Nothobranchius furzeri: one gene and its partner. The protein of the gene in region 1 binds, or shares a complex with, the protein of each later gene. Links are inferred from orthologs where the notes say so. Each region holds a gene or a part of one and is shown on either strand. Other genes may lie near its edges.

Region 1 (4,346 bases):
ATACCAGACAGCTTTATTGTTCCCTTGTCGAATCCTAACAACTGATCTGCTGCATTTGTATCACAACAAAAGGCTGAAAATGTGGAAAGTTTGCTGAAAATGTGCATGAGTCATTGTCTGCATTGTGTGACTGCAGTGAAAGATGGGAAGCACTCGCAAATTACCAGCAAAGTGCAGCAGCTACCCAGACTAGAGTCGTATATGAAACAAACAACTTTCTCTTTGTTATCTGAAAACAAAGCTAAGTACAGACAACTGGCTACCACCTGCCATAATAGGAATCAGTCAGCACTGCTCTGGATGCTTCCTGCAGGACCTCTTCTCTTTGGCAACTGCAAGGTTAAGACAACAGTTGTAGAGAGCACCTTTTTTACCAGCCCTATATTAGCCTTTGGAGGTTTGAAAGGCAAAATGCCCCAGACTCCTCTTAAAAAAGCAAATGAAATGAACATCTGGCCATGATGGGTGGCCATGCAAGGTTATATAAAGTCAAGCAGAGCCAACAAACAGGAATCTCCTGCATGAAAGTACCAAAATCCAGTAAATTCCCTTTCCATAATGTTTAATTAGGATGCTCAGGCAGACAGAAGCTCCTTGAAATTGAAATCTCATGCAGGATTTAAAGAAATCATACGGCTGCATCCAGATATTTGGATCATATGCTGCAATGATCTTAAAAGGATGGAAAAAACTACAAAATCTTATACTTAATGAGACTGATTTGTTTTTTGTTCGGGGCTGCCTGTAGGACTCAAGCATAAAACCAGCGAGATAAGAGTCTCCCACCGCATTTGGCTGAGCCCATCACTCCAGTTTTACAGCATTTCTCAAGTGTCCAAAGAGGAAAAATAAACTTTTCAAAGCATAAAAGAAACCCAGCATCCACCTGTTCTAAATCAAAGACTTTCAAAATGACCTTGACAGTATTTTAAATTAGTGGTTCCCAACTTAGTCCTTGACCCCCCAAAGAGGTCACCACCGCAAGATTGCCTTTACTGAGGTTGCATGGTTATAAAAATTATTTTTGTAAAAATTATATTAATAAAATAGCAATAACACAGTCAATAGTACAATTAAGACTCTGTATAAGAGTTATAACTGTGTATGTCTGTTTAAAGTTTGTCATGAATCACTTTTAATGTGGGTAAGAGTTGTGGCTGGGGAGGCCCTGGCCCGTCTTGAACACAAGCAAGGGGGTCCGCGTGGAGAAACGTTTAAGAACCGCAGTTTTAAAGGATCAACCCTACCACGCAAAGTAGAAGGAAATCTTCGTTTTCCAAATTCTCACTTGAATATCACAATATTAAACATATCAGAGACAAACCCATCTCTTTAATTTGACCAGTTTACAACCAGTAAATTCACTTGAAGAACTTCATCACATCAAACATGCTGCAATAAACTTCTGGAGTCATTCTGATTTGTTTGATTTGGTGTCAAAAGGTCACAGACATGCACACTTGACCTGTTCTACATAAGGTTATCCTTTAAATGAGGTTTTTCTGCTTTGTCTCATTAATTAGTTCCTTAAGAAGCTATTTTATTTAATCATTTTCTTTTTTACATATCTGTGGGTTTTTTTCCAAACCTGCTACACATATCAGCACTACCAGCTAACCCGTCATAAGATAACTAATGGCTCTAGCAGTCAGAGGTTTATTTGCAGACACAATGCCCCACTTTCCTCCTTGCTATTGTCTGGTGTGTGAGGTTTGAGATAAGTGCAAATCAGCTCAAGAAGCTTCGGGAAGAAATCTTTGCTCAGGTAGCGTGTCACATTTCCGTGACCTCTACTGGCCAGAACAATTCCAGGCTGCTTCTTGTCCTTGCATCCGCTTCCTCTGGGCGTCTTTCCCACGCTTTGTGCGTGGACAGTGAAGGAAATCTGCTTAAAAACACTGCAAACAAAGCTTCATACACTCTAAGTGTGTGTGTGTGTGTGTGTGTGTGTGTGTGTGTGTGTGTGTGTGTGTGTGGAATGTGAACAGTCTTTCCTTTGTTTGGATGGGCTGTTTATTTGGAAGCAGTGAGGAAGCTACGGTGTGTATCTCAGTGGTACAGTGGACCTGGCACAAGGTGGAGGAACATCTATGTTTTCTACTCTCTGCTTTGTTTTGCTGGACTTGAACACGGGAACAATGAGGGTGATTCTCCTGTCAGATGAAGCATTTTTCCTCCAGTGTTTTATCTTCCAACAATTGCTGGAATAAACATGTCATCTATTAAAAGAAACAGCAATAAATACTTAATTTGAAGAAACCCGAGGAAAACCTGATCAGATCAAAGTCAAAACCAAGACGAATCAGAATTTTTATTAAGTTTTAGTTTTATATACATTGAGTTTTTTTTTTAAGAATAACTTCAAAGAGACACGACAACCTCTAGTGGTGTGTGTGAGAGCCGCAGGTCCAGGACGTTCAAACAATATAAAAACCTTCAGGCATCAGTTACAAACCGAAGAATCAATATTATCTTCAGAATAAAAAAAAAATTCTGACTACAACAAAAGTATGAGGTAATTCATTCACTGAGACGATTTCATTCAACTGTGTCATTTTCAGACATGCGTACCAATAAAAATTCACAAATAAAAGGTCTAATTGATTTCTTACCAGCTGTGAATGTAGAGCAGCAGGAGACGATCATCATGAAGCAGATGAACGAGGTCATTCTGCCAACTTCACCAAAATCCTAACCGAGGTCAAAGTGTTGAGATAAAATTCCTATCAGTTTTTTTTTGTTTTTGTTTTTGTTTTTGTTTTTTAAGTTCCGGTAAAACCAAAGTCTCCCTTCAGTGTGAGTTCATTTAAAAATAATGTTGGTTGTCTTTTAAAACGTGTCCTATAAATCCACAAAAGCTTCAGGTGTGCAAGCAGAGCGCTGCGGTGGTTCTCCAGTGTCCCATGACGCGTTACGCGGGGGAACTCTCCAGCTCAGACCGGCTCCAGCGAAGAGGAGGCGGATGTGCCAGCGAGCAGCAGGTGCAACCAAATTCAGTAATAACAGGAAGTGTCCACGAGATGAAACATGAACAATTACAACATTTTAGTTTAGTTCTTCGTTTGTGTGTGAGCGGAGGGATACTAGAAAGGAAGGATCAATCAGTGCCTGGCTTTTACGCGCGCCTCTCTTCTCGCTCCTGTGCAGCACTTTCAGTCCGGTCGTGAGACGCGTGTTTTATAAAGACAGAGGAAGGACGCCACGTCACTTTACTGGGAGGACACCCCGAACTGGACACTTCTGGATTAAAAAAAAAATCAGCGTGGACATATTTATATAAAACATACTTATCAATAAGAGGACCGGAAGTAGATAATTATTCAAATACTGATGACAAAAAGCTCTAAAATCATTGATCTTATAAATCGAGGGTGTCACGTTGTAAGAAGCAATAATAATGTGTAAGCTATAATTAAAGTTCATTTTCATTTTTTTTTCAAGATTACATTAGTAAAATGTTACTAGTTAATGATTTATTAGACCTTGGTGCACACATTTAAAATAAGGCAACAAAAAGGATGAATTTTATTTAGAAAAATATTACAGTTTTAAAAGTTTTAGCAGAGTACAATAGTGAAATAAACACAGTTTTACACATGATTTTCACTCAGAAGAGAACAGATGTTTTTTTTCTCCCAGCTGTTTTACACATGGGGGAAAACATATCAGTCAAACACAAATAGATGATATCAGTGCACATCATAATATTAAATATGACTTAATTACTGTTAATCAGTCAGTCAATCAGTCAAAAACTGATACACAAGTTAATCAGGTTTTGATTAGGAATAAATGATTCATAATTTTTATTTCATAAATGCATTTTGCTCAACTTTATTTTCAACGAAAATTAAATGAATTAGTGTTTGACCCTTTAATACATTTTCCATGTTTTCTTTAAAATGTCCATCCATCCATCCATTTTCAAACGCTTATCCAGAGTCGGGTTGCGGGGGCACCAGCCTTAGCTGAGAGGCCCAGACTTCCCTCTCCCCAGCTACTTGGGCCAGCTCCTCCGCGGGAGTCCCAAGGAGTTTCCAGGCCAGGTGAGAGACATGGTCCCTCCAGGGTGTCCTGGGTCTTGCTTTAGGACTCCTCCCAGTTGGACGTGCCCAGAAAACCTCACCAGGGAGTCGTCCAGGAGGCATCCTGACCAGATGCCCGAGCCACCTCAACTAGCTCCTCTTCATGTGGAGGAGCAGCGGGTCTACTCCGAACCCCACCCAGATGACTGAGCTTTTAACCAGCCACCCTGCGGAGAAAACTCATTTTGGCTGCTTATATCCACGATCTCGTTCTTTCGGTCACTACCCAAAGCTCGTGACCACTGGTGAAGAACGTAGATC
Region 2 (3,837 bases), about 3.7 Mb from region 1:
TTCTGTATCTAACAGATGTTAAATAACTCATTAAATGTTTCAATATAGGGTTCTTTAATTAAAAGAAGAGTTGTGAAATTATCAAAAGCTCAGAATGCTTTACTAAGTGCATTTTTCTACAAGTAAAAGTTTAGGCAACAACCCAACCGCTTCAAACGCTCTGATTTAATGTCTTTTGTCCTTGTATTTGTATTAATCTCTGTATTTCTGTGTTTTTCTAATAAAAGTGCAATTTCATTTGTTGCCTTTGTGTGAACTGACTTGCAGCGGCGAGGGTTGAGACTCCGGCCTTTCCGGCTGCAGCTCCCAGCTCTGAGGGTGCACCTGCACTGACACAGCGTCACATCCAGGACCCAGTTCCTTCCTTTGCAGGGGTGGCAAGGAGGAGTTGTTGAGGGTGGGAGCGGGGGAGGAAGGGTGGTGGGAGGCAGTGGGGATGACGGTGAGGGAGGGAGGGTGGTGGGAGGGGTCAGTGGAGGGGAAGAGGGAGAAGTCAGAGGAGCATAGGTTCTGGATGGAAAAGAACCAAAAACAAGTATTTAGTTTCAGAATTGATTTACTCACTGGATAACATGACTAAACCAGCTCAGTGGCTTAGTGGTATGAGCCCTGAGACTGGGAGATTGTGGGTTCTAATCCACGATCAGGTCGCACCAAAGACTGGCCTGATGGTGGATCTGAATGATGACAAACTGATGGATTCTTTCAGTTTTACTTTATCACAAGAGGCGCAAGACTGTCATGGACAGTTGATTTCATTCATGCAGAGCTTTGGTATCCATAAATGCAACAATCAGTTAAATAACAGTTGAGATATTTCTGTCTGGACAAACGTGATGCACCTCCTGAGCGGCTATAAATAAAATGTAGGGCTTGTTTGAACACGAACACTGCCTGTCTGAGACAAACCCCAACAAAGCCGTGTGTGGGAGATGTGTGACGAATGTGGGATAATGTTCCTTTAGCTGCTGACTAACTAGCTCCCCTCTCTGTCCGTCTGTCTCTCCGTCTGTTACCATGGCTATATGTTCGCCTTGCTGCCTTTGAGACCTTCAGTTCCACCTCTAGACGCCCTCTGAGGTCTGAGTCTGAGAAAGTGGCCAGCATCAGTCGGTCCATTAACCGGAGCTAGTTCTGCCTCTGTCTTCCTGGGAGGCTGACAGTGTTAATGAAGTTACTTAATGAGGCAGAGAGGGGCCATCTTTGTTCCCGTCTCAGTGACCACGCCTGTCGCTGGCATGGAAAGAGGAGGTGGCGTTTGGGAGCAAATTACACAGATTTCACCCCTGCCAGAGTTTGAATGAAGCCTTTTTGGGGTGATGGATGGGTACGGAGGGACATCACACCCAAACGGAGCCAACCTCTGGCCCCTGGGGGCCGGAAATGACTGACAGTAAAGTGAAGGGGAAGCAGATGAAGAACACTGGAGAGGAAAAGAGCGCTAACCCTTTTATCCTTCTCGGCTCAGGACGTGAGGGTGCAAGTGACCATGTTTTCACACAAATGTAGTGAGAATCATATCATCACATGACAGGAAGTCAGACGGCTGATGATAGCAAGTACTATTCAACAGGCTCAACACTGAGGTGATAACCGTGACTAAGGAGTTTAAGAGTGGATTATGGTGTGTGTGTGTGTGTGTGTGTGCGTGCGTGTGTGTGTGTGTGTGTGTGTGTGTGTGTGTGTGTGTGTGTGTGTGTGTGTGTGTGTGTGTGTGTGTGTGTGTGTGTGTGTGTGTGTGTGTGACCTTGACTGTTGCTGTGGCTGTAATACAAATTGTCCTTCAGTTAAACTGCAGATCAGATAACCCAGTTTTCCTAATCACAACGGTCTCACTGAGCCTGAGAGGATCTGCTAAAACTCTGACATATGTGTTGAGAATGTAACATTTAACTTACGGGGGTCTGACTGTTACAGTTTTCCTCTGTCTGTGCTTCCTGCCCTGCTTTTTCTTCTCCTTTCTCGCTGGCTTTAGGTAGGGCCTGAGAACAGACAAGATGTTGACACATGTGGTCAGAAGTTCACATCCAATGTCTTGCATCAGATTTGACATCTGTCGCAAAAAAGAGCATTCAGACCTAAATCCCAGCAACCAGCGGGTGCTGAATGCATCCCAGAATTCATTTAAATCTAAAGGCAGCACATCATTCTGATGGTTTTCTATTGTTTATTTATTCTTTTATGTCACAAATATGGATTTAAAGGATTCCTTTCCAGTCATTTTGCTTTAGTTAAGCAACTTGACCATGCATTTAGATGTTTGGCTGATTTTGTTGAACAAAAAGAGAGTTGAGAACTGGTGTCAGGAGATTTTAACATAAGAATCAAAATGAATAAGAATAGATTTCAATAGATGAGTAAAAATCACAGCTGGCAGATTTCCCAGTGAGTTTTGTGTGTTAGAGTTAAGAAGAAAAGGGGCCATCAGAAAATATCCTTAAAGTATCCTTACTTTATATTATAACTTTATCTGATTTTAACCTAAATGTTAATGAAAATTTACATACTTTAATACAAATAGATGATGAATCAGAACTAAAATGTGAAAAGTCTGATAAATAATGACTCTGCTGAAGCTGGCAGAAACCAAATGGAGACTCAAGCCAAGGTATGGCTGTATGAGCCAGTGAAAAAAGGGGAGAGTTGTTTTGGTGCTTCATTCCAACTAACAGTGGGACGTAATGAGAGAATAATACATTAAAGAGTGAATTAAATAGTCTCACGTGGGATTAAAAAGAAAACCGAACCACAAAACTTTATAATAAATTAAGTGAAAAACTGTTTTACATGTGGTTCAAATCTGGGTTTTCACAACAAGCGCTGTGTGATTTATTTTACCTCCACCCTCCTGGTTTCTTGCAAAAAAGATTGCTGATGGAGAAATTATACTTTATAAAGAACACCTGAATATTTATCGCAGAACGTTAGGATAGCTGAGATTAAACCTATCTTTTGAGAAGGACAAGGTTGTGTCAAAAATATAGAAAAGCCTCCATTCAATGAGAAATCTTTAATTTTTTAATAAAAAATTGTTTGAAGGTACATTTTCTTGGATGAATAATATATGATTAACCCAGATTAATTCTTTACAATACCTCTGATTAATTGGATTAATTTTTGAGTCCCACCCCTAAAAAACTAACCACATTATATTTTGTGAACCGTTTTTGTTAAAGAAGTGGATCACTCGTTTAATCAATACATTTGCAGTGGTCTTATAGTAGCATTGAATGCCTTGTAAGTCGTTCTCAACGGGAAAGAAATGTACACCATTTCTTGGACCTAAAAGTTGCCCACATCACAGCTGAGCTTCAGCTGAGGTTTTGGAGACTTTTATCTTGATAACTGGACATCTCACAACAGACTGGATAACAGCAACACTACTCTACCACTGACTTGCCACTAGGATGGCTTAGCTCCACAAATAACTCAAGCCTGGAGGAGCTCCTGCTATGTGTTGGTGTTGCTAATGATAATGGTTAGCTTAAACTAGCCAAGATGTCTGCTGCTGATTCCCAGACGCTAAAATAACAACACGTTCCAGTCCTGAGTCAAGATTGTTGAGTCCATGAATTCTGTAAATTCACAGTGTGATGTAGATCTGTCAGGCTTTTCTAATCCTATAGTTTCACCATCTATTTTCTATCAGAAGCTAATGCAGGAGATAGGTATAGGAGTCTGTTTTAATGTTCAGCCTGAATGAAAAACTCAGAGTGACTGATCATAATGAGAATTAACATTTTCAGTCAACCACACCTTTAACACTGCCATCTTAACCATTTCTTGTCCACACCACAAAACAAAACAAATCAAAACAACATTTATTGTGGTTTCTGC

What was found.
Region 2: the proteins of kdrl (region 1) and vegfba are in contact, whole or in part, in a crystal structure (PDB 2XAC), measured with the Homo sapiens proteins. The link is inferred for Nothobranchius furzeri from reciprocal best matches to the Homo sapiens genes FLT1 and VEGFB. Residues at the interface, in NP_002010.2 of Homo sapiens: Tyr139, Glu141, Pro143, Phe172, Pro173, Tyr199, Ile202, Gly203, Leu204, Asn219, Leu221, Arg224, Thr226; in NP_003368.1 of Homo sapiens: Ser37, Trp38, Ile39, Tyr42, Thr43, Thr46, Cys47, Gln48, Pro83, Asp84, Asp85, Gly86, Leu87, Cys124, Arg125, Pro126.

What each region holds. Positions count from the first base shown.
Region 1 is NC_091741.1:84,303,246-84,307,591, reverse strand, and holds the start of kdrl (vascular endothelial growth factor receptor kdr-like), read right to left. Parts: upstream 2,885-4,346; 5' UTR 2,671-2,884; coding exon 2,613-2,670; intron 1-2,612. UniProt on the Homo sapiens protein: Tyrosine-protein kinase that acts as a cell-surface receptor for VEGFA, VEGFB and PGF, and plays an essential role in the development of embryonic vasculature, the regulation of angiogenesis, cell survival, cell migration, macrophage function, chemotaxis, and cancer cell invasion.
Region 2 is NC_091741.1:87,957,883-87,961,719, reverse strand, and holds part of vegfba (vascular endothelial growth factor A), read right to left. Parts: intron 1,983-3,837; coding exon 1,899-1,982; intron 511-1,898; coding exon 262-510; intron 1-261. UniProt on the Homo sapiens protein: Growth factor for endothelial cells. VEGF-B167 binds heparin and neuropilin-1 whereas the binding to neuropilin-1 of VEGF-B186 is regulated by proteolysis.